Linked DNA regions of Tribolium castaneum. The protein of the gene in region 3 binds, or shares a complex with, the protein of the main gene of each other region. Links are inferred from orthologs where the notes say so. Each region holds a gene or a part of one and is shown on either strand. Other genes may lie near its edges. The genes, in order: LSm3, U6 snRNA-associated Sm-like protein LSm5, Prp6, U5 small nuclear ribonucleoprotein 40 kDa protein and LSm7.

Region 1 (4,177 bases), about 3.3 Mb from region 3:
ACCGAAGGCGGCCAAGGAAACCGCCACAAAAAACGCGTCCGTCAACCACACAACACCCGCGAAAGACAAAAGCAAATCGCCGTAGGCCACGGCGAATACATCATGCCACAACAAAACACCATCTATCGCACCCCACAACCCATCATCCAGCAACAACAACAAATGTTACCAACCGAAGAAATGATTGAACCACGCCCACCACGACCGAACTCAATCGAAATACGACGCTCGTACCAACAGGAAACCACCGACGGTCTCCATTCCCCCACTTACCCCCCGTACGAGGAGTATGGCCAAGGCCCACTCAGTTCCGAATCATTATACCAAGGAGGCACGCCCACACGAGGCGGTAAAGTCCGCCCAAGCCAGCCCCCACCCGCACCACCTAGCAACACGAGCACGCCCTCGTCCAATACCCCGACGCGAGGGCGGAGCCTCTCCGGCCGCGACAACCTACCACCACCGCCCCCACCACCCGACACGACCATGTCACCGCCCAACGGCATCCCCGCACATCTCGCCACCCAATCGCGTTCAAACAGTCCGCATCAAGCCACACCTCCCGAACCGGTGCAAGACTTACCTCCACCACCGCCCATACCTAAGCAAGCCTCGCCCCCCAAACAACAAACTCCACAAGCCCCGCCTCCGCCACCACCTCCACCAATGCCGTTACTGAACGGCCCGACGACTAGTCCCCCATTGGTTAACGGCGATTTGGCGAAAATTATAAATAGTGCGTCGCCGCCGCAATTGACACCTGTCAAAGATCGGCCAAAGCAGGCGCCGCCTATCGTCGATCCCAGGAATGATTTACTCAAAGCTATCCGAGATGGGATTAAGTTGCGCAAGGTGGAGAAGATTGAACAGAAGGAGGTGGAGAGAGGGAACGGTTTCCACGATGTTGCGAGTATTTTAGCTCGGAGGGTTGCAGTCGAGTTTAGCGATTCGGATTCAGGAAGCGATTCGGAGTGTGATAGTGAGGGTTGGGGCGAAAATGAAACGTCGGCGTGACATAGAAGGAAGGCTAGCACGGCTAGTCAAGTGTATTGAAGCAACGAATTTTCAATTTTTAACGAGCAAACTTTAGCAATATGCCAAATTTCCAGTATTATTGAGGCATTGCATGATAAGCTTATTAGATTGCGTTTACAGTGGATGGTTTTGACTTGGGTTGAGATGTACATATTGTAATGAACGTTTTATTTATAAATTAAGTTGTATAGAGAATTATTTAACTCGTACTATCCTAATACTCCTTTTTAATATTTTAACCAATTATCAGGAAATCTTTGTAAAATACGATATTTAATGGGTAAATAAACATCATGTCAACGTATGTGTTTTATTTACGAAGTGCGCATTGGGGGTGAGACCAAGATCACGCCGTCACCTCGGACGAAAAGCATGGGAATATTACGTTTCGTCGTTCTGTAAACCTCTTCATATGTTTCTTCATCGATTTCAACCGTGGTTATGGTCTCTTCGGCGTCGCTCAGGATCATGTTCATGTGTTGGTCATAAGCCTGGAATTTCGGTTTGTGATGGATGGAACTTTGTTAGACAACTTACGTGGAGTCTGCCCCGGATTTCTCGATCGTTTCGCATTTTTACATAAATACGTTCGTCTAAACTTAACCTCACTAAATCGAGCGGTTCTTTGACGGTGATTGAGGGAATCTGAAAGGAGTGGTAGGTGAAATGTAATTCTAAATGAAATGGGTCTTACATTTTCTAAGTCATCTGCCATTCTCACGAAAGATGATACTTGTTTGTAATATTAAATTAAACAGGCCAAAAGTTAGGTTAAGTTGTCGTTACAGTGTCGCCACAATAAGAACACCTTTTTCGATTTTAACGATATTCGGACAGACCGGTCTTGGCATGTAATAAAATTCGGGCGGAAGGTGTTTTTTTGAATCTAAAAAAAATTTGTTTTTTAATTAAAGCCACAGATTATTACCGCGTTTTACTTTTTAAAATAATACAATCACTCGTTTTAGGGATCATGCATAGTTTAACACTCACTAACACTTAGAAATCGGCAGATTATACAGGGTGATTCTTTTAGGACCTACATTAGAGACTTTTTAACTTTAAAAAAAACTAGTGCTTTAAAAGCGACTATTTGAAATTCAACTAAATTATTTTCAAAATTTCTGAGCTTCCGGAACCACGACAAATTGGCGCCAACTTTAAAATTTTGAAGAGTAACTAAACATTTTTATTACATTTTTTAATTCACTCTCTCAAAGTGAGTAAAATTTATTAAAATTGTTGGTACTTATCTGTCTTAGTTTTACATATGTCAATTTTTTTGGTAAAATTTTTATTTGCAAGGGTTTATTTAAATTATCACAGCCTTTGAACCGTTTAGGAGAAGTGAATATATTTTTTTTTAATTCGATTATCGGAGTTTCGAAAAGTTTTCTAAAATTTTCAAAATTGTCAACTGTCAAAATTCAAGGCTAGTATGATTTTTTTAAATGGTTATTAAAAATAAAATCGGCTATAATTCAGTTTTTTCAAATGGATCGACTCTATTTTCTTAACGGCAATCGAAAGAACAATATTCATGGTGATTTTTATCAACACGTCCTGTACCTTACCTGTTACAGTTTTTGAAAAAATCACAAATAACGGATTTTACTTCGTAATTTTTATAGTTAATCAAGTAGACCTTGCAAAATGGTCAACAATTGTCAAACTTCGACACTTTACTTAGTTTTTAGCTGGTTCATTATCAAATAAGCAGCAAAACATTAATATTTAATTATGGTTTATGCTAACTTAGTGAATAACTCAGTCAGTTTGCCATCGAATTTTGAACTTTTTGAGTGAAAATGGGGGACAGTTTTAAAATTTCTGTTAATCATTAGTACAATTTTATCGTATTTTTTGAAAGGTTACTCGATTAAAAATGAAAATAATTACCTTGAATTCGGTTTTTTGAGATTATTTCAAAAACTGTAAGAGATAGATATAGAAGATGTTAATAAGTCTGCATAAAAATTGATGTTCTTTTGATTGCCATTGAAGTCATTCCATTTAAAAAAACTGTTCTATAATTGTTTTTTAATTATCATTTTCAAAATATCATAGTAGCCTTGCAATTTGACAGTTGACAATCGTAAAGATTTCAGAAGACCCTTCGAGCCTTTGGTTATCAAATGCAAAAAGAATTATTCACTTATTTTAAAGTACTCAAGAGCTATGATGTTTTAAATAAACCTCTGCAAATAAAAAATTTATCAAAACATTTGACATATTTCAAAAACTAAGACAGATAAGTACTAACAATTAGGTTTACATTTTACTCAGTTTCAAAAGGCGAATTCAGAAACACAATAAAAATAGGTGGTCACCATTTAAAATTTCAAAGTTGTCGCCAATTTCTCGTAGTTCCGGAAGTTCAGCCATCTTGAAAATAATTTAGTTTTAACTCAGAGTGATCGATTTGAATCGTGTACAAAATTTTAAAGCTCAACCTATGTTAGAAGTTAAAAAGTTTGTAATATAGGCTCTAAAAGAATCAGCACGTATATAAAATTACTGGTTGCTAAAGTCCATTCGGAATTAAAATCAATTTTCAAATTGTTTCAACGTTGGCAACTCCATTTAAAATTAGTCGTCTATGTCAATGTGGCAGGGTTCCAACATAATTCCAAAATTTTTGACACTGACAATTAATTTACAAAAAATGAGGTTTATAAGAGAAAGATTATTAGCACCGCACTAGACCTAGCTACCAACCTAACAACAACTTTCTATAGCTTAAATAACCAAAAGCACGACCGACATCCCAATTTAGGGAATTCCAGCAGGTGGATTGGCAATGATTATTCCACCAATTGCATTTCCGTTGATTCCGTATCTTATTTTCATTTCCTTAAAATAAGACGTCGCTGCATCTACCACTACTGGCTAATAACGTAAGCATTTTTAACTTTACACAGTTTCTGTTGCCCTTCATAATACATTTTCAAAGAATGGACTTCCACACTTTGTCTTCAAGCGACTCCATTAACCAAATAAGATGCACCTCGTGCAAAAACTACTTGTCTTACTTCCCCGTGATGTTAACCCAAGAAGAAACGTTATGTGGAAGGTGTCCTGCAAAGGACAATTCAATTCGAAACTTTTCATTTGAAGCTTTAGCCCAGTTTTTGCCCTTTCC
Region 2 (4,022 bases), on a different chromosome or scaffold from region 3:
CTCTTTAATTTACGGTTTGAAAGCAAGGAATCTATTCGTGGTTACATTTTTTTAATTATTCTTAATTCCTTAATATAGCCCATTGAATCAGTATTTTATTTAAAAAAAGTTAGATTATGTATTTAATCCTTAAATGCTATGTCCTTTTAAATATTAGACAATTACACAATGATTTATTTATTATTGTTAGTCTTTCACAGTTACGACTTTCAAAGTCGTAATTTTTTGTCTCTTCTTTTTTTATTAGTTAAAACACAAATGTGTTCAGCTATTTTGCATTTGAATTCTATGTTTGGTTTTCCAGACATCAGTCTCAAGCAAATTTTACGAAGCACTGAAAGTCCACCACACGACTGATTCTGTACGTAAAAAATACGTTTATTTGTTAATTTACGTGAATTTTTGCCCAAAACACCATTTGAGCATCGGTTATTTTATGAATGACATAAGGAGTAATAGTTTTTCTGTGCAGCGACTATAATAATTAGTCACAAAAAATCACATGCACAGAGAATATTTAATAGCAAACGCTGAATTTTGTGTAGTAATTAGTTTATATTTTAGACTCACCTTGAGGAAGTCACGAGAAGCTTATCATGTAAAAATTTGAAAGTATTTTGGCGCTTTGTTCTTTGAATTTAGAATACAATAAAGCATTAAGCGTATTTTTTGTATAAACATATCATGGCGTTTTTATACGCGATGGTCCGTTAAGTCCATCCTATTATGCGTTCTACAGTTATTGTCAAAGTTATTACTTTCACCACTCCTGCTTTTCATGCTCATGATATGCGTTCTGGCATCGGTAATAATGCACAATGCTGAAATCGATACATCAAAATTATTCAAATTTTATTCATAGTTCTACATCAGTGTTGATATTCCCCACTTATAGATTTATGTTCCGCGTTGATATTTAGGTAAACAACGTCATGATTTATAAACACTACTGCTTAGCAAAGTGTCTAAGTTCCTATGTTTGGTGTTGGAAGTAATCATTACTTTGTACACTTTTTGTGCTTAAAATCAAAACAATTTGCGTTTGACATGAGTAAATAACTTGTCTTTTATCTAAAAATGCCCATTTCAACGGCATATCCTGTCGTTTGCATGTCTTTTGGTTGCTTTCCTCCTGTGTACCTGTAATATGCTGAAAGTAAAAATGTGGAAATCCACTTGACATTTTCTTAATAGCTTTCAGGGAAATGGAGATGAGTTTACTTTCTTTCGCCACAAATATTGGAATACATTAGAACTAACGTGAACTTTATAAAAATCTGTGGAAACAAACACTTTGTGTGAGGAACGTTGGGAAAAATAGAATATGATTAATACAAATTCGTTCAGGAATTTCCTGGCCACATTCCTTGTTAGCGGTATATCCAAAGAATGTTTATTATTCCCATAGGTATATCGGTCGTGTCTAATCACAATTTCATTATAATAATCCACATAATGATAATGTCAACCACAGTGGTCAAGTTATCATAATAGAATATTGTTTGCTGCAAGTAGCATTTTAATGTGTTTATTTAAACAGCATGGACAGGGCAACTGAACTCTTCCAAGATAACTGTAACACGAATATAAATAAAAGAAAAACTCCTGAGAAATAAAAATAGCTAAGCATTCACATTCTGCTACAATTACCATTTATTCCCCGATATAAATTATACGCTCTCGAGCTGTCGTGTTATAAAAATAGAGCGTTATAAATCATATTAAAGAGGAATAAATCAATGTGTAGGGGTATAAAGCTCTTAGAGAACGTAAATATAGGCTAAACCAAAATAACACCATTGTTTCAATTAACTGGAGTATACTGACCTTTTATTACAAATTGATGATTTTAAATTCCAAAATTTACTCCACGAACATTATTGTCACGATTTTAGACACAAGTTCACTTAAAAATACGATTATTTATTACAAAAAACACAAAACCTACAACTACAACACACTCAACTCCCACCTCGGTCGGCATTTGACGAAAACGACAAACGACTGAAATACCGAAGAAAGCCGCAAAGCGCATGACCTGTTACACTGCAAGAGCTCCAAGCTCGCACATACGCGCTCCAAAAGAAATAAAAAATAAAAACAATTCATGCATTCCACGCCGTAAAAATGTAACCATAAGGCGGTAAAGTCTTAACAAACGTGTGCCACTACTTTTTGTAATTGTCTTAAGCCGTATTTTGATCGTTTATTAAATTGTTCGGTTCCGTAACGTAAGTCCTAGCTTGAGCTTTTTGCTGTAGTTGCGACACTAGCGCCATTAAGCTCCTGTCAAAATCCTTTTTACTGTCAAATTGATTACTTTTTGCTGTTTGTAAATGTAAACAGTTGTTTCAAATATTTATTGCTAATTTAAGAATTTATAATTATTTGAACGTATTATTAAACGGTCAGAATGACTTCCATGCCTGTGTCTTCTTCCACCTTGCTTCCGTTAGGTGAGTAAAGCAAAAAAACGTAACGTGTTTTTTTGGTTATCTGCCGGTGTTTGAGCATTCAATAATAATCATTAATTTATTAACGTTGTTTTTGCTATTGTAGAACTTGTGGATAAGTGTATAGGGTCAAGGATCCATATTATTATGAAAAATGATAAGGAAATCGTGGGGACGTTATTAGGCTTTGATGATTTTGTCAATATGTTACTGGAGGATGTAACGGAATATGAAACAACGCCTGAAGGAAGGAGAATTACTAAATTGGACCAAATTCTGCTTAATGGGAACAATATAACAATGGTACTTTATTTTGTGCTTCGTTTTTATGTTTAATATGCCATACTGTATCTAATTAATTCTTGAAACTAATTCAAAATTTTAGCTTGTTCCAGGTGGAGAGATGCCAGAGTAAGTCATTTGAATAAAGTATAAAATAAGGGCATTTTTGTGTTTGTTTAATACCCTTTTTTGTATCATAAAAAGCTCTTATTTTTGATGAAAACAACACTGTACATTTAAGGAGAGATGTGTTTGTGTCAAATTTGTCCTAACTGGGCCTTTTAACACAAAAAAATAAGTTGTTCAGAACATTACTTTGTAATCGCGGGTTAGGCAACCACCTTATCTTGTTGTATAATGTGTTGCCAACTACTCCAGGCCTTTACAATGAAAAAAGGAATGGAACGACGTTAGAAAATAACTAAAAGTCGTAAAAACGGTTCGTTCCAGTGAATTTTGCGGCTCATTTTACCATATATCAGCTTTTTACGCAATTTAGAACCCACTGGAGTTGCTAAAAGTCCATATGTTCGATTTTTTTTATCCAATTTTTTGTCTCGATTTCCGGTACCCGGAACATTTATATAGGTTTGGACCAAAATAGTTCCATAATTTGAAGAGAGCCGGCCAGCAGCATTTTTTTTTCACTAAAAAAAGTCGTAACTCAAAAAAGTCGTAAAGCAAAATGGTTTGTTCCAGCGCATTCTACGAATCACTAAACTAAGGTGGGGGTGAAATAAAACACCGTTGTACTGTTATTCATTTATAGAAATAGAATAGACATTTTTAATCACAGTTAGAATACTATTCAAGTTTAAGTTTCTGATTAAACTACTCTACAGAATTTTGAAACTTTGTTAAGTTTAATCTCAGAAAATACTGTATTCAGGGTTTGCATTAAACATCTCTTATAGTCAACGAATCGTAAACTCATTATTCATCAACCACAATTTGTAATATCTATTTTGATTTAAAAAGGTTGACTGCACGATACATAAATTATGCCTATTATTCCGAAATATGGATAAACATAATCCCTTGTGCACTAATCCCCGTTAAAGTCTGTTGAAATTAAAGCCGACTGTATCATGTAGTCACCCTGAGTGTAATTCCTCATTTGTACAATTTTCAACTAACGTAGAAGCTAATTTCGATGTAACTAATGAATATAATAAGTACTACAAAGGCAACTAATTTCTTAAACCGCACCTTAGTGAGCCATGTTCCAATCACAGTCGTCTAGTAATACCTAGTTAACCTTTACACAAACTAACTCTATCAGGAAAA
Region 3 (4,968 bases):
ATTAGATTTCTTCAAGATTTAGTAGGAGTTTCAACTTTATACTCAGACATGTGCAGTTTTATTTATGACAAGCTTTGAGGAAAGTTTTTATTTGTTTTATGATTCTTGACTATAAGCAAGTTTTAAGCTTTTTTTGCATCTATAATGGCTCTAATATTTTTTGGACCATAAAAATCTAAGTTGTCAAAATCAAACACGCTTAAAAGCGAAAATTAAAATACACTTAAGTCGAAAAATCACTTAATTACGTCGACAGTTAACTTATTTTGTGAAATTTAGTTCATAAATGTTGTTATTTTTATGTATTTTGTATTTGTTTTAAGAGTGAAAATTAAGTAGGATAATACTTAATAATTAATTTATTATTTGGTTTTATGATTTTTCCCCTCATTATTTTGTTTATTATTTTTTTGTTAAATGTAAATGAGACTGAAGACAATTTTTTAAACAAAAATTGACCGTTTCTGTAGTTTTTTATTTTTTTAAATTCACCACAAAAATTCTTGTTTGAATATTTTGATGTGAAAAATATTTTAAAATCGAAAAATTAATAAAAATAAACTTTTTTGTATTTTATTTTTTTGTTTCTGAGTTAAGATTATGTAATGACATAAGTTTGGCGTCTTGTTTTTGAGTAAAAAACTTACTTATTTTTTGAAATTTTGTCAAATATGACTAAAACAGATCGAAATTGACATTATTTTGAAGTGTTTAGTATCTTTTTAGCTTTCTTAATGAACCAAAGGCTAACTATTTTTACGAAAATTTGGTAAAACGGTGCATAAGTCTTTTTATTACATTGAAAATTACGTAATTTTGAGCAGAAAACTCACTTTTAAATGACAGTTTTGTCAGTACGCTTGTTTTTTGTATTAATTTTTTATTTTTTTTTGATTTCCTTTTCATTGCAATTTATTGTGAGTCGAGTAAATAAAACCCGTTTGATTTAACAATTTTATTACATGGTCTTGTTAAAACTGAAAAAAAATTGTTTAAGGATTGTTAAGGATCGTGATTAATGTTTTTCAATAACAATAAAATCTTATAAAAGCTTAGGTAAAAAATTGTTGGAAAAATGCAGGCAAAAAGAATTATATAATTTTAGTAATTGTACTGTTATTTTTTATTATTAAGCGTTTTCTTTTTTTATTTACCTTTTTAGTAATTATTGTATAATCTTGCTTTATTTTACATTATCTTATTTTTTGTACTTCTTTTATTCCATAGTTTTATCTTATGTTTTCCTGTCTCAACTGTTTTTTTTTCTCTAATTTCAAGGCTGCAGATGTTGAAACCGAAACAAAAGCCAAACGGCGAGTCTACCGAAAAGCCCTGGAACACATCCCGAACTCAGTGCGTCTCTGGAAAGCCGCCGTGGAACTGGAAAATCCAGAAGACGCCCGAATTCTCCTATCCAGAGCAGTGGAATGTTGCCCCACTGCTGTCGAACTATGGTTAGCCCTCGCAAGACTCGAAACGTACGAAAATGCCAGAAAAGTCTTAAATAAAGCTCGAGAAAATATTCCCACTGATAAACAAATCTGGACAACTGCGGCCAAGCTGGAAGAAGCCAATGGTAATCACGCCATGGTGGAGAAAATCATCGAGAGGGCTATAACTTCATTAAGCTCGAACGGAGTTGAGATAAATCGAGAGCACTGGTTTAAAGAAGCTATAGAAAGTGAAAAAGGGGGCCACGTGCACTGCTGTCGCGCCATCGTCAAGGCAATCATCGGATATGGGGTGGAGCCCGAGGACCAGAAGCACACCTGGATCGAGGACGCCGAAAATGTAGGAAAAATAACCATTTTTTTTCCAATTTTTTGCAAATATATTTTTTAGTGTGTGAGCCAGGGGGCGTACGAATGCGCCCGCACTGTCTACAACCACGCCCTTGCCACCTTCCCGGGCAAAAAATCAATTTGGTTGCGTGCCGCCCATTTGGAGAAAAACCACGGAACGCGGGAAAGCCTCGAGGGGCTCCTTCAACGAGCCGTTGCCCATTGCCCCAAAAGTGAGATTTTGTGGCTCATGGGGGCGAAAAGCAAGTGGTTGGCGGGTGACGTACCCGCAGCCCGAGGGATCCTCGCCCTGGCCTTTCAGGCTAACCCCAACAGTGAGGAAATTTGGCTTGCTGCAGTCAAACTTGAGTCAGAAAATCGCGAATATGAGAGGGCGAGAAGGTTATTGGCCAAGGCCAGGGGCTCCGCCCCCACGCCGAGGGTCATGATGAAGAGTGCCAAGTTGGAGTGGTCGCTCAATGACTTGAAAGCGGCCCAGAATTTGTTAGATGAAGCCTTGAAGGTCTTCCCGGATTTCGCCAAGTTGTGGATGATGATGGGGCAGATACATGAACAGGAGGGCGAGTTGTCGAAGGCTTTCGATGTGTATTATGGGGCGGTGAGTCGAATTTTCAATTTTTTTTCCAAAAGTGAGGTTGGGTTTTTGAATTTTTGACTCACTCAGTTGGCAACATTGACGCGTCCAACCAAATATTTTTAACATTTTTGCTTAAAAAACGCGATTTTGCGTGCGAAATTGATTGAATTTGTCCTTCACGGCTATTTATTCAAGAGTTTGTCTGTGTAAAAAGAGGAAATAGTGAATTTATCGAAGTCTAGTGCAACCTAACCACACTTTCGCCCCACATAACCTCACTTTTTTATTGTGTTTTTTGCTTGAACAGATCAAAAAATGCCCGAATTCCATCCCGTTGTGGATTTTGCTGTCTCGCCTCGAAGAAAAGCGCGGTTTGTTGATAAAAGCGCGCTCAATGTTGGAAAAAGCCCGCTTGAAAAACCCCAAAAACGACCAACTGTGGCTTGAGGCAATCCGTATTGAAAAACGGGCCGGTATGAAAGACATCGCGAACGCAATGATGGCCAAGGCGCTTCAAGAATGCCCCACTTCGGGGCCCCTCTGGGCCGAGTCGATTTTCATGGAAGCGCGGCCTCAACGAAAGACACGTTCTGTAAGTACTGTCAGTTGAAATTTTCGAAAATAATTAATTTCGTGATAGGTGGACGCGCTCAAGAAGTGCGAGCACGACCCACATGTCCTCCTAGCCGTCAGTAAGTTATTCTGGTCGGAGCGTAAAATCGGGAAATGCCGGGAATGGTTCCAAAGGACTATTAAAATCGATTCGGATTTTGGAGACGCGTGGGCTTATTGGTACAGGTTTGAGCAGCTTCACGGAACGGTGGAGCAACAGGAGGATGTGAAACAGAGGTGTTTGGCGGCGGAGCCCCATCATGGGGAGTTGTGGTGCTCCATTTCCAAGGACATTAAGAATGTGGGGCTGAGTAATGAGCAGCTTTTAACCCTGGTTGCGAAAGAAGTTGTTATTCCAGTCTGAGTTAGTGTTACTTAATAGAAATAAGCGAGGACAGGTATTTTTTTCCAGTTATTTTTTCCCTGTTCCTTTTTTCTTGTGTTGGTTTGATTTGTGCACGGTATGAGGGGCTAAATATTACGTGACACGGTCTTGCAACTGTAAAGTCTGTGGTGAATTAGAGTTCTGCAAAAATTAATGGCAAACTTTATGCGACTTTTATATTTCTCTTTAAATGAAATATCAATTAAACAACTTAAAACATTTGTTTTCTAACACAAGAATCATAAAATTAACTAACCAAAGTTAATGAATGTCGTAACTAATCGTTAAAATAGACCAAAAAAATCGCCAAATTATGTTGATATTGCATTATTTTTGCTTTTAGCTTGTCTTTGTCACACCTACAATCATTATGCAAACTTTTATTAAATGTGGGTGGAAATAACCAAATTAAGTCGAAAATTGTGTTATTTTTCAGTTTTTAAACCTATAAACACGTGTATAAACAAAAATTTCAGAGCTTCTGTGAAATTTTGTTAAAGCAAATGCAGAAAATTGAGTCGATAATTACCTGTTTCGGTCGTTTTACATCCCGAAACGCAATCATGTCGTTAAATTTCGTGAAACTATGCCGAAAAATCAACAAATGTAATTCAATTTGATGTTTTTTTACCTGTTCCACGGAAATTTTATTTGATTAGGTGTTGTGACAGAATTATTTATTTGCAAGAACTTATTATCTTACCTGTCTCAGTCGATTTGCTTCGTTTTTGAGTCGAAAATATTTATGTAAATAATCAGAAAGTTATTTGATATCGCAATGTTAAATAAAACACGAGAAAAAATCATCGAATTAAGTCGATAATTACATGCCAAACGTAATAATTTTCAGTAATTTTCCTGTCTTTCGTTTAATTTCATGTAAATAATTTGAAAATTCAATAAATAAAAGAAACCATAACTTTGGTTTAGAAGCAGTGTGAGGAAATTTTATGGGGTGGCCATGAGGCCACAACCGATCAGCTGACTCGTCGTAGCGCTCTCGCGATGTTCATATTTATCCATGAAATGGTCCGTTATAGCGCGTGCATTGGCGTAGTTTACTATGGTAGCGCTCAGCTCCGTTTGCGTGTGCGTCATCTGACATTTCTGTCACTACGTTTACATAGCAGGGGCATAGCGGTGACAAACTATCAAATATTTTTTGAGGTTACGAAGTGTTTAAATTATGAGTTGTTACAAAAAATACAGATTCACAAAACAAGAACTAATAAACGCAGAATCAAAAACCTAACGAAACGCAAATCACAAAACACAATAAACGAACAGAAAATACTTGCGATTAACACCGATAACACTTTCGACAACCATGCGATGACGTCTATAATTTACTGTCAATGTCAGTTTGACAAATTCGTGACACTTGACGGTGTTGTCGAAGTGCACATGTAAATTAATGTTCAAGGATACCACCCTTAGATAGCCCTTAGCTGTTTAAATTTGCATTGTTTTTGATAATTTTTTATAGCTTTGTGTTGGTAATGAAAAAATGAAATTGATGACGCACACGCAAATCGAGCTGACCGCCACTATAGGAGTTTATACAATTAATGTTACCGGTTGATTCGTCAGAA
Region 4 (5,703 bases), about 4.4 Mb from region 3:
TCCCTCCGCTGAAAATCTGTTCAGCTGTGTCGTTAAATTCAACAGCAGTGACTTGATAATTTGAGTTGAAAGTTGTGACGGATTGTTTTTTGCGAATATCCCATAATTTAATCGTGGTGTCATCGCTGCCTGAGACCAACATTTGAGGGCCTCGTCTCGCACCTTGGACCGAATTAACAAAAGTAGTGTGACCTTTGTATTTTTTAATTCTTTGACTTGTTGGTAAATCCCAAAGGCCAAGCGTGTGATCAGTGCTGGCTGTGAAAATGTTAGTGCCATCTGTCGTGAAGTGGAGCTCCATGACAGCACCCGTGTGGCCACTCATTACCGATAAATTTTCACACTCACCGTAAACGCTCCAAACGACTGAAATCGCACATGTTTTAAACCAACATATTTAGTCTAGACAAATAGGCCTTTAAACCAAATTTTTTGATGAAGATTGCCGTAAAGTATGTAAAAACGACTCTTTTTTTTTTCAATACTTAAAAGATGTTTTTTCCAAATTCTTCAAAATAGGTAAGAGCTAAGAAAAATATGTAGATCTTTAAAACTAATCAATTGATATACAAGACAATAAAATTTAATTTTACTTTGAGATCTTGAGAAGATAATAGTGAATTTTATCGTGTGCAATACAAAATTTTATTCCATCCTCCATTATTTCGATTGAGTTACTGAGCTATTTTGATTGACAGTTATAAACGTCAAAAACTCAACAAAAACAACAATAGTTGTGAACAATATTATTTCTCTAAGTGATAAAATTTCATTTATCCTTGACGATGGAATAAATAAAATTTTAAATAAAAATATAGTTTGGATTCTTTTAATTTCATTATGAAAATGAACAGAGTTAGAGTGATTAGAAGTAAAGAAATGATTGTACAACTTAAAAAAACAGAATAAAATCATAAAATTTTCTGTTGAATTGAATGCGGAAGACGTTTTTGAATTTGGTATTGCCTTTATTATAAAAAAATAAAATTTTTCGAAAAACTATAATTGATAATTTTCTTTATTTACATCCTCATATGTTCCTTCTGAATAAAGTTAGAAACCTTTTTGGAGAAGATCCCTAAATGAATATAAGTTCAGACGTATATAGGGTGAGTCTTAACTTACACGCATAAATTTAGGGAATGATAGCCTTTCTAGTAATAGTTATTTACAATTTACCTGTAGTAGGTAAAATTTTACAGCGTGAAGTTTTAATATTGAAGCTCGAAACGAAGTTGAGGGCTTTAATACAAAAATTGAACCCTGTAAAATACCTAACGCACAAATAACTTGCAAAACTGGTTGGCCAAATATCGCTAAAAATAGATAAATAATTACCACTCAGCATTTAGATTATTTTACCACGCAATGTCAACATTTTACTTAGCAAATGACTAAATAGTAGTCATTTATACGGACTAGAAAATTAAAAAATTCTAGAATGAAACCATAAAATTTTCTGTCCAATTATTCTACAGAGTAAACTTAATATAACACATAAAATTTATATCTTAGTTATGGCTTATTTTTTTCAATACACAAATCAATTTTATTTTTAGAAACGCTAGTCTTTGACATCCAGTTATTGAGAAAAGACATGTTAAAATAACATTTTAAATAGCCACCAACTTTTTTGTTTACTATTTTAGTACTACACTCCTTCATATTTCTGATAAATATAGGGTGCTCAAAAACTGGCGCACCAACTCAGTGGTACATTATTGAGAAGCAAGTGCAGATTACGGGAAAAATGTTTAAAAAATTCCTAAAGTCATATTTTGAAAAATCTGGAGCTACAAACTTATTGTGTTAACTTCTTTAGTTTTCATTATTTTTTTTATGTATTTATGTTTCATACCAAGTAATCGTTCCGTAACAAAACGATGAATAATTATTTTCAAATTTACTATCAGATTTTAGCAGTTTTTTTAATTTAAAAAAATTAAAATTCATCCAAAAAATCGCAATGTGTAAATGTGCCAACACTGGCAATTATTTCCTAGGAAACCGTTTCAAAAATAATTTATTTTTATTCTTGCTCAACTTCTGTTGCGATCATGACTGTTAGACAACGTTGCCACATATCATTTATCCAAAATCCGTTATTTATCAATAACTTTAATACAAAGAATTTTTTACTATTTTTACCTTTATATGTAACCAGTTCTCTACCACACACCAATGAGTTGGTGCGCCAGTTTTTGAGCACGCTGTATAATAAAATTCAAACAAATGGAGCAAAAAATCAAAAAACAAAAAGAATAAAAAAATGAAAGAGGTAAAAAAGTTATGAATAATTTTACACAAGGGCTTTATTTTTCTGTTTTGGCTTTATTTTATAAGAACGATTGTTTGTTTTTCCTTATTTTTTTGTTTTTAGGTTGTTTTCATATTAGTTAAAAAACAAAAATAAAAAACATGCACCCCTGATAAAACAAAGCAATAACAATTCGTGTATACATATAGTCGATTTTTTTTATAATCAACTGTCAAAGAGCCGTCAGGTTAGTATTACCATAAATAGTAATTTTTACTAAGATGGTACTAATTTTTACCTGGCAAATTTAATTTAATGGTCTTTAAGTTACAACACGCACAACACATTTTTTTAAAAGGCTAACAAATTCTAAAGACTAACGAATTCAAATTTCATTGGCTGCAAAAATTGTCCCGAATGTCAAATCTGGTGTGTAAAATGTCAAATACAGAATACAGCTAGTTTCGAAAGTGATTAGACATGAGATTTTGGTGTGATACAGTCTGGTCTTTATCAAAATTTTGACACTGACAGTTAATTATAAAAAAGAATGAACTGTAGTTATCAAATTATTTTTAACAGCTAATGTACCTGTACAAAATTTAAAAATATTCTTGTTACAAATAGTTTTATTTTTGAATAAATAAACTAGTTCAGAATATTTTAAAAATGAACATTTGCTTCCATTTATTTAACTTGGTAATTTTTAACTACTATTGGAACCTGCACACAGGCGGCCAATTGGCATGGCTCAGCCCTGCTAACATCAACTGATGAATTATGTTGCACAAACAATTGGAAAAACAGCTTTAAGCTTATTATTTACATTTTTATCAATAACAATTGAAAATTTTTTACTCTTAACTTTCGAATTATGTTAACCCCCTGAATCAAATTCCCAACGCACGGGCGTTAATTTTAAGACACCCTCTATGTACTTCAAATTACTATATTAGATATTCAAGTAAATCCTCCAAAATTTTGATATGAAGACCTATTTGGCTGAACCTCATTGCAAAAAAAACAACTTACAAATTCTACGGTCGAAACCTGATGAAGCTACATATTGACCCTCAGGGTGGAATTCCACTGTGAAAATCTCACCCTCGTGGCCCTCCAGTAACATAATGGGGGCAAATAGATTGGAAGTTCTCGCAGGGGCCTGAAATACATGATTTGAGGAGGGTTTTTGAGGTTAAGTGTTACTAACCGCTTGTAAGACCGATTTGTTTTTGTTCGATGTGGCCACTTCATTTTTCGATTTTTTGCTTACGGGGACTAGAGATGATGAATCTTCGGCTCGACGTTTCTCAACAACCATTTTTGGTGTTTTAAACAAAAATTGGGAGGAAAACAATAACCTCACTTTTTAGCGTCAACAAAACGAAGCGATAAGCGCCCTCTGGTGGAGAGCACGAAGTACGATTTGATTGTATACCCTGTTTCAATTATATAAAACAAATAGTTATCTCCTTTGGAATAAATGTTTGACAACAATGAAATGGTTTCCCAATGTCGATATCTAAAAATTATTTGGTTTTTTACTTGCCAAAATTTCGAAAACGATTAATATTAGCTCACTTAACTCACTTTGCGTAATTCTTATTACTTTTTTGCTCTAAAATTGTCAGTATTTTCCCGGTACTAACAGATTTTTGTTAGTAATTTGCAACACTGAAACACAATTAAGTTTCTCTTGGCAAATATTTGAGGTACAACCCCATAAGACTGTTGCATTATTGCGCCATCATTTTTAGTGTGTCGTACTAATTTTTTGGGATTAGAAACTCCTGTAATTTTATATCTTGTTTCATCTCCTAAGTTTAGGAGGAACCCCCGGAGTTTAGGCTCATTTTCAAACTACAAACATCTTTTTTGCGTAATTTTACTAAAATAGATTGATAAGAATGATATCTTCCAAATTATAGTCGTTATTATAGTCTGCTTTGTTTGATTCAGTAAAGTTTCGACTTAAAAACTACATATTTTCTTAAATTCTGTCAGAAGAAACTTAAAAATCAGCAAACTTGATCAAAATTAGATACTAGATACTAATGTTTTTTGTGTAATTTTGGCAAAACAATCCAAAAGGTTGTTAAATCGTGTTAAAAATAATGTTATTTGTCTATTTTCAGATGTTTATTTAATATTTTAGCACTTTTTTTCGTGAAAAAACACCGTGAAAATCCTTAAATTAACTAAAAATTGACTTGACTTTGGTTTATTTTGCTCAATTTTTGAACTCATTTAAACTCTAAAATAAATCAGTTTGTAAAAAAACTCTTAAAATGACACTAAAAATCATTAATCGAAAATCCCAAATTTGTTGGAAAATTATGTTATCTGTGCCTTTTTTAAACGTAGAATTTTGTTAACAGACCGACATTGATTAATGATTTCTTCCTCTTAGACGATATTACAGAAAAAACTTAAAACACTGATTGCATGCCAAAAAAATTGCCTAAACATTTGCAAATATTTACGTACGTTTCTTCCAGAATATGTATATCCTGTTTTTATAACTCATTTTAATTAATTTTTACTTAAAATATTTACTTCCGTGCCTACGGAGAGTGTGATGCAACTAATCTAATAAAAATATTTAAAATAAGTGCTCAAACATTAAACTTTGCGACACGCAAAGTGGATAAATATTTGCGGCATTCCATCAAAGTTTGCGTAATTTCCATATTCTGTAAAATGCATGTGTTAGATGGAAAGAAATAGCAAAATAAACATTTATTAAAGTGGATTAGCAGATTATTTCAACAATAATAAATAGACTAAAACCTACGTCATAAAAAATTAATATCTTGCAATAATATCATCAACAACAAATCGTGTTACACATTTCACATTTTTTTAGACTAGTTTTAACTAAAATTAACTCCGTCAAACAATTCTCTGTCTTTGGTTGAATAAAAACACACAGTTTTTCCTAATAGTGCCGTCGGAACGGATCTTTAATATAAGCCCCACGTTTGGTTTCTTCCCGAATAAAAGTGAAGTAACTGAAGACCACAAGCCACATGTAGACGTAAATAACTGAAACAGGAAAATAAGAAAAACGAAACTATAATTTTTCAAATACTTACTAACTGCAATGATGCCCAAAACAATCCATAATGTACCCTCTGTTGATTTCCCATTAATATAAAATTGAACGGCGGTGTAAATCACCGAAACTAATATACCTATTGCCAACATAATGGCTAGAATTACCCAAGGCATCATCAAGAATGCGTTTCTCTGCAAAAAAATCAATAAGAATAATAATAAATAATAATGCTCCACTTTACCTTTAAAGTCCCTGCGATTAAAAGTATTGAAATAAGAATAGCCATCGCGAAATTAATCACAATTACGATACGAACTGGAATTAAAAATGTGTAAAAAATTGTTAATTAAATTAATTAATGACGCACCAACATCCTGTGGAAGCCAAT
Region 5 (4,022 bases), about 5.8 Mb from region 3:
AGATTTTCAAAGACGAGGACACGATGCGAATTTTCGCAACTTCTTTGACCCAAATTTTGAAAATTTTCCAATTCGACGGGTGGCTCCTCAACATCGAAAACTCGCTCCAAGACACCGAAATGTTGAAAAAATTCGTTGCCTACTTAGGGGTGCAAACGCACACCCAAAACCCCGACCATTTAATCATCTGGTACGACAGTATCATTGAAACGGGCGAATTGAAATGGCAAAATGAGCTCAACCCCCTTAATAAATTTTTCTTCGATAATTGTGACGGTATTTTCCTCAATTACGTATGGACTGAGGAAAATATCCACAATTCGATTGAATTTGCAAAGCATCGGACTTTGGACGTTTACGTGGGGGTGGATGTCTTCGGTCGCAATACCTTCGGAGGCGGTCAATTCAACTGTTTCAAGGCCGCCCAGATGATAAGGAGACACAACTTATCAATGGCGATTTTCGCGCCAGGCTGGACGCACGAAACGCTGCCCAAAAGTGAAAATCGGCAAAAATTCTTCGAGGATTTTATTAATCGAGACTCGGCTTTTTGGAACAGTCTGTGGCCCTATTTATACACGCATCCCATTACGAGGTTCTTCAAGACCAGTTTTTTCACTGGAGTTAACCAGGTATTTAACTAATTAATTAGTTATAACGCGCCCAAGTTCGTATTACGAAAAATAGTTCGCCCTTTCTCTCTCACTCTTTCCTATCGGAACTCCTATAGCTCTGTCCTTGTCTTATGTAAATAGCGGGTTATAACTTTTTAAGTAAAATTATAATAACTTAATAAAAACAAATGCATTAATTTTAAGGACGTCTACGACCTGTTCACGCAACACCCGCAACTCTCAAAAATCAAGCACCCAAAGTCACTAGAATGGGTCCCCAACCACCACGAAATACCAACACTGAACAATAAGTGCAACTGTTTACAGTGTGCTTTCACCAGTACTGGTGTTAGGTGTTTAATTACTAAAGAATTTTTGAATAGTTCAATATGTTACGTCCATCGTATTTTCACCTGTGATATTTTCCTATCTGGAGTTATCACAATTTACGTTTTGACGAAACTAGTACGCGCACAAGCCGCTCAATTAAGTTTAAATCTCCTCACTTCGGATAAAAACGGTACAATTAGAAAAATTAAATGCAATAGCACCGTCAAAGAACACCTAATTAAAAACTGTACGTTAATGGAAATCAATCCTTCGATAAACCCCTCACTTGTTAATCACGTCGTTAGAAGTAACGACGATTTGTTTCTACACGAAAATTTAACAATTGCGTAAGTCGGTCACACGTTTGGTAGGAAAAAAAAACTAATTAACTTTTTCAGTGTTTATCAGTTTGATTGTTCGCCGTGTACGTTATTGGAAATTGGATGTACGTTAGAGGAGGGAAAAGCGATTTATTTGTGCGGTCTTGGAGTCGAAGAGCACGTTCTAGTACTCTGACACAACTTTCGTGACCAACAGTACAAACAATTTTCTGCCATACTGTACATTTTGCCAGGGCTTGAAGCCCAAATAGTTAACATGTATTAATGCTTTAGTAACGCCCCAATGTGTAAATAACTTTTTTTGAATAAATGATAACCGAGAATTTTGCATTTTTCATTTGAAACTTTGTACCTCCACTGCGCAAGCAGTCCTCTACAAATTGTGTCCCAAAATTGCGTCAATTTTTACGTAATTCTTTAGAAGCTAAGAAAATTAATTACGAAATTGCTGGACTTTACAAACCGATAATTATTTTTTTTTATTTCAAAATTAATCGGAAGGTTCCGTGCGCATAGGAGACCATATGCACGCGTCACCTCCAAACGTATTCTAGGTTAGAATTTCAAAATCGGCAAAATTCCACAAATAAAGCCGAACAATGGCATCGTCAGGTGACAAATCAAAAGTACGTACCCCAAACTGCCCCATTTCGCCCCCTCAACCCCCATTTTTACCGTAGAATCAGAGCGGTGACCAAAAAGAGAAGAAACGTAAAGAGTCGATTCTAGACCTCTCTAAATACCTTGAAAAGACAATTAGGGTGAAATTTGCGGGCGGCCGAGAAGCTAGTGGTATTTTAAAAGGCTATGACCCCCTTTTGAACCTCGTCTTAGACAACACAATCGAATACTTGAGAGATCCAGACGACCCTTATAAATTAACAGAAGACACGAGGGCCTTGGGTTTGGTGGTCTGTAGGGGCACAAGTGTCGTGCTCATATGCCCCATGGACGGCATGGAGTCCATACAGAACCCCTTTATATCCCAAGACTAAGTTTTGTACCATAAAAATACCTCTAATTTGTAAGACGTTTTTTTGAATAAAACCGGTAAAAAATTAATAAAACTGTTTTATTGCACAAACTAGCTCAATAAATTAATTAGAAGTTTAGTTATAATGAGCGTAAGCAACCACCAATGCTTATAACCAAAAGTAATTAAAGCGTACACACAAAAAACGTGTTAATTACGCTTGAGATTAACGAATAATTGCCCCAAATAATAAATCTGGGTTGATTCAGTTGATTGCAAAAATGGGTTTTTCTGTCCAAAACTACGGTTGAGTACAGTCGCCCACACATTTAATGGCCCTGTTGCGCACCGAGCATGCGCAAAAACGCTCTGACCGACTCGGATGACTCACCGCCGCCATTTTCCTTTCAAAAAAGTGACATTGGTGACAGTTGAGTGCAAAAGTGCTTTAAAAATGCCGGTCAGGGTGGATATTACGCCTCCCCCGCCGGCCAATTCAAAACAGCCGGGGGTAACAAAGTCCCTCTTATACAACGGCTCCAAATTTCAAGGTTTCCAGAAATCGAAAGGCAATTCGTACGAAGTGGAAGTGGTTTTACAGGTTAGAAGTTGCAAATAATCGCACCATTGCCCCCCTTAACCAAAATTTCGATGACTTTGTACCGTTCGAACCCTTGTAGGACGTGTGACGTCCCTTTTGCTCACCGCTTATTTAAAGAAAACTAAAAATATCAACATATGCTAATGCAATCCGAAATGGCGGGAAATTTAAATTTCGCTCGTTTTTCCAGCACGTCGACGAGGAAAACTCCTATTTGTGTGGCTATTTGCAAATTAACGGGCTCACCGATGAGTATCCCACCTTGACTACGTTTTTCGACGGCGAAATTATCAGCCAAAAGTACCCGTTTTTGACCAGAAAGTGGGACGCCGACGAGGACGTGGACAAAAAACACTGGGTGAGCACCCAAATCTTTGTTTTTAGCACAATTTCAAAAATTACAAGTAGCCAAGCATCGCAGCTCACTATCTTATAATTATTATTTTCACAATCTAGAAGGCGCCAACCCAAATGTCAACTGTTAATGGACAGTCACAGCTTACTATCTTAATATATTTTTTTTTGTATAATTATTTTCTTAACATATCTCTTGTTGCAGAGCAAATTCTCGTCGTTTTCCCAATACGCCAAAACGTTCAATTCGGACAATTTCGATTATAAGGCGCTCGGCGACACCGACTATGTTTTTATGCGGTGGAAGGAGCATTTTCTTGTTCCTGACCATACGATTAAAGACATAAGTGGGGCCTCGTTTGCCGGTTTCTATTACATTTGTTTTCAAAAATCTAAAGCCACAATTGAAGGTTACTACTACCACAGAAGCAGTGAATGGTTTCAGTCGTTAAATTTAACACATGTGCCTGAAAATAGTATACAAATTTATGAATTTAGGTGAATTGGTTGAGTGAAAAACTTGGCTTATTTCAGTACTGCATGTCCTCGTTCTCTCTCTCTCTCTAGCGAAGTTGATTTTCACAGTATTTTTCAATAAGTGTACTAGTGAGCAGTATTTATTCATTATTTTTGTGTACATAATTATGGGTAGCTTGGTTTTAATTACTTCTTAAGAAAACGACTGGGTAATTGATTTAGTTTCACGTTTGATTTGTATAAATTTTTGTTTATTTAGCTTAAGTAGACTAAACAAGTCATTATTGTTATGTATATTGTGTATAAATGTATTAAATATATTTTTTTGAATT

What was found.
Region 1: Prp6 (region 3) and LSm3 share a complex: the UniProt entries of both Homo sapiens proteins name them as parts of the U4/U6-U5 tri-snRNP complex. The link is inferred for Tribolium castaneum from reciprocal best matches to the Homo sapiens genes PRPF6 and LSM3.
Region 2: Prp6 (region 3) and U6 snRNA-associated Sm-like protein LSm5 share a complex: the UniProt entries of both Homo sapiens proteins name them as parts of the U4/U6-U5 tri-snRNP complex. The link is inferred for Tribolium castaneum from reciprocal best matches to the Homo sapiens genes PRPF6 and LSM5.
Region 4: Prp6 (region 3) and U5 small nuclear ribonucleoprotein 40 kDa protein share a complex: the UniProt entries of both Homo sapiens proteins name them as parts of the U4/U6-U5 tri-snRNP complex. The link is inferred for Tribolium castaneum from reciprocal best matches to the Homo sapiens genes PRPF6 and SNRNP40.
Region 5: Prp6 (region 3) and LSm7 share a complex: the UniProt entries of both Homo sapiens proteins name them as parts of the U4/U6-U5 tri-snRNP complex. The link is inferred for Tribolium castaneum from reciprocal best matches to the Homo sapiens genes PRPF6 and LSM7.

What each region holds. Positions count from the first base shown.
Region 1 is NC_087399.1:10,142,854-10,147,030, reverse strand, and holds LSm3 (U6 snRNA-associated Sm-like protein LSm3), read right to left. Parts: upstream 1,888-4,177; 5' UTR 1,751-1,887; coding exon 1,730-1,750; intron 1,681-1,729; coding exon 1,573-1,680; intron 1,527-1,572; coding exon 1,350-1,526; 3' UTR 1,332-1,349; downstream 1-1,331. Other genes in the region: SCAR (actin-binding protein WASF3), read left to right, coding at 1-1,014. UniProt on the Homo sapiens protein: Plays a role in pre-mRNA splicing as component of the U4/U6-U5 tri-snRNP complex that is involved in spliceosome assembly, and as component of the precatalytic spliceosome (spliceosome B complex).
Region 2 is NC_087394.1:33,640,146-33,644,167, reverse strand, and holds U6 snRNA-associated Sm-like protein LSm5, read left to right. Parts: upstream 1-2,276; 5' UTR 2,277-2,413; coding exon 2,414-2,456; intron 2,457-2,559; coding exon 2,560-2,756; intron 2,757-2,838; coding exon 2,839-2,868; 3' UTR 2,869-2,898; downstream 2,899-4,022. UniProt on the Homo sapiens protein: Plays a role in pre-mRNA splicing as component of the U4/U6-U5 tri-snRNP complex that is involved in spliceosome assembly, and as component of the precatalytic spliceosome (spliceosome B complex).
Region 3 is NC_087399.1:6,882,704-6,887,671, forward strand, and holds the end of Prp6 (pre-mRNA-processing factor 6), read left to right. Parts: intron 1-1,278; coding exon 1,279-1,791; intron 1,792-1,842; coding exon 1,843-2,400; intron 2,401-2,686; coding exon 2,687-2,971; intron 2,972-3,019; coding exon 3,020-3,355; 3' UTR 3,356-3,392; downstream 3,393-4,968. UniProt on the Homo sapiens protein: Involved in pre-mRNA splicing as component of the U4/U6-U5 tri-snRNP complex, one of the building blocks of the spliceosome.
Region 4 is NC_087399.1:11,298,598-11,304,300, forward strand, and holds the start of U5 small nuclear ribonucleoprotein 40 kDa protein, read right to left. Parts: upstream 3,677-5,703; 5' UTR 3,579-3,676; coding exon 3,468-3,578; intron 3,420-3,467; coding exon 3,290-3,419; intron 367-3,289; coding exon 1-366. Other genes in the region: uncharacterized protein LOC656468, read right to left, coding at 5,196-5,302, 5,353-5,506, 5,557-5,630, 5,683-5,703. UniProt on the Homo sapiens protein: Required for pre-mRNA splicing as component of the activated spliceosome. Component of the U5 small nuclear ribonucleoprotein (snRNP) complex and the U4/U6-U5 tri-snRNP complex, building blocks of the spliceosome.
Region 5 is NC_087399.1:1,124,509-1,128,530, reverse strand, and holds LSm7 (U6 snRNA-associated Sm-like protein LSm7), read left to right. Parts: upstream 1-1,751; 5' UTR 1,752-1,884; coding exon 1,885-1,911; intron 1,912-1,965; coding exon 1,966-2,280; 3' UTR 2,281-2,352; downstream 2,353-4,022. Other genes in the region: ENGase (cytosolic endo-beta-N-acetylglucosaminidase), read left to right, coding at 1-632, 819-1,291, 1,343-1,460; glucose-induced degradation protein 4 homolog, read left to right, coding at 2,713-2,859, 3,050-3,217, 3,419-3,715. UniProt on the Homo sapiens protein: Plays a role in pre-mRNA splicing as component of the U4/U6-U5 tri-snRNP complex that is involved in spliceosome assembly, and as component of the precatalytic spliceosome (spliceosome B complex).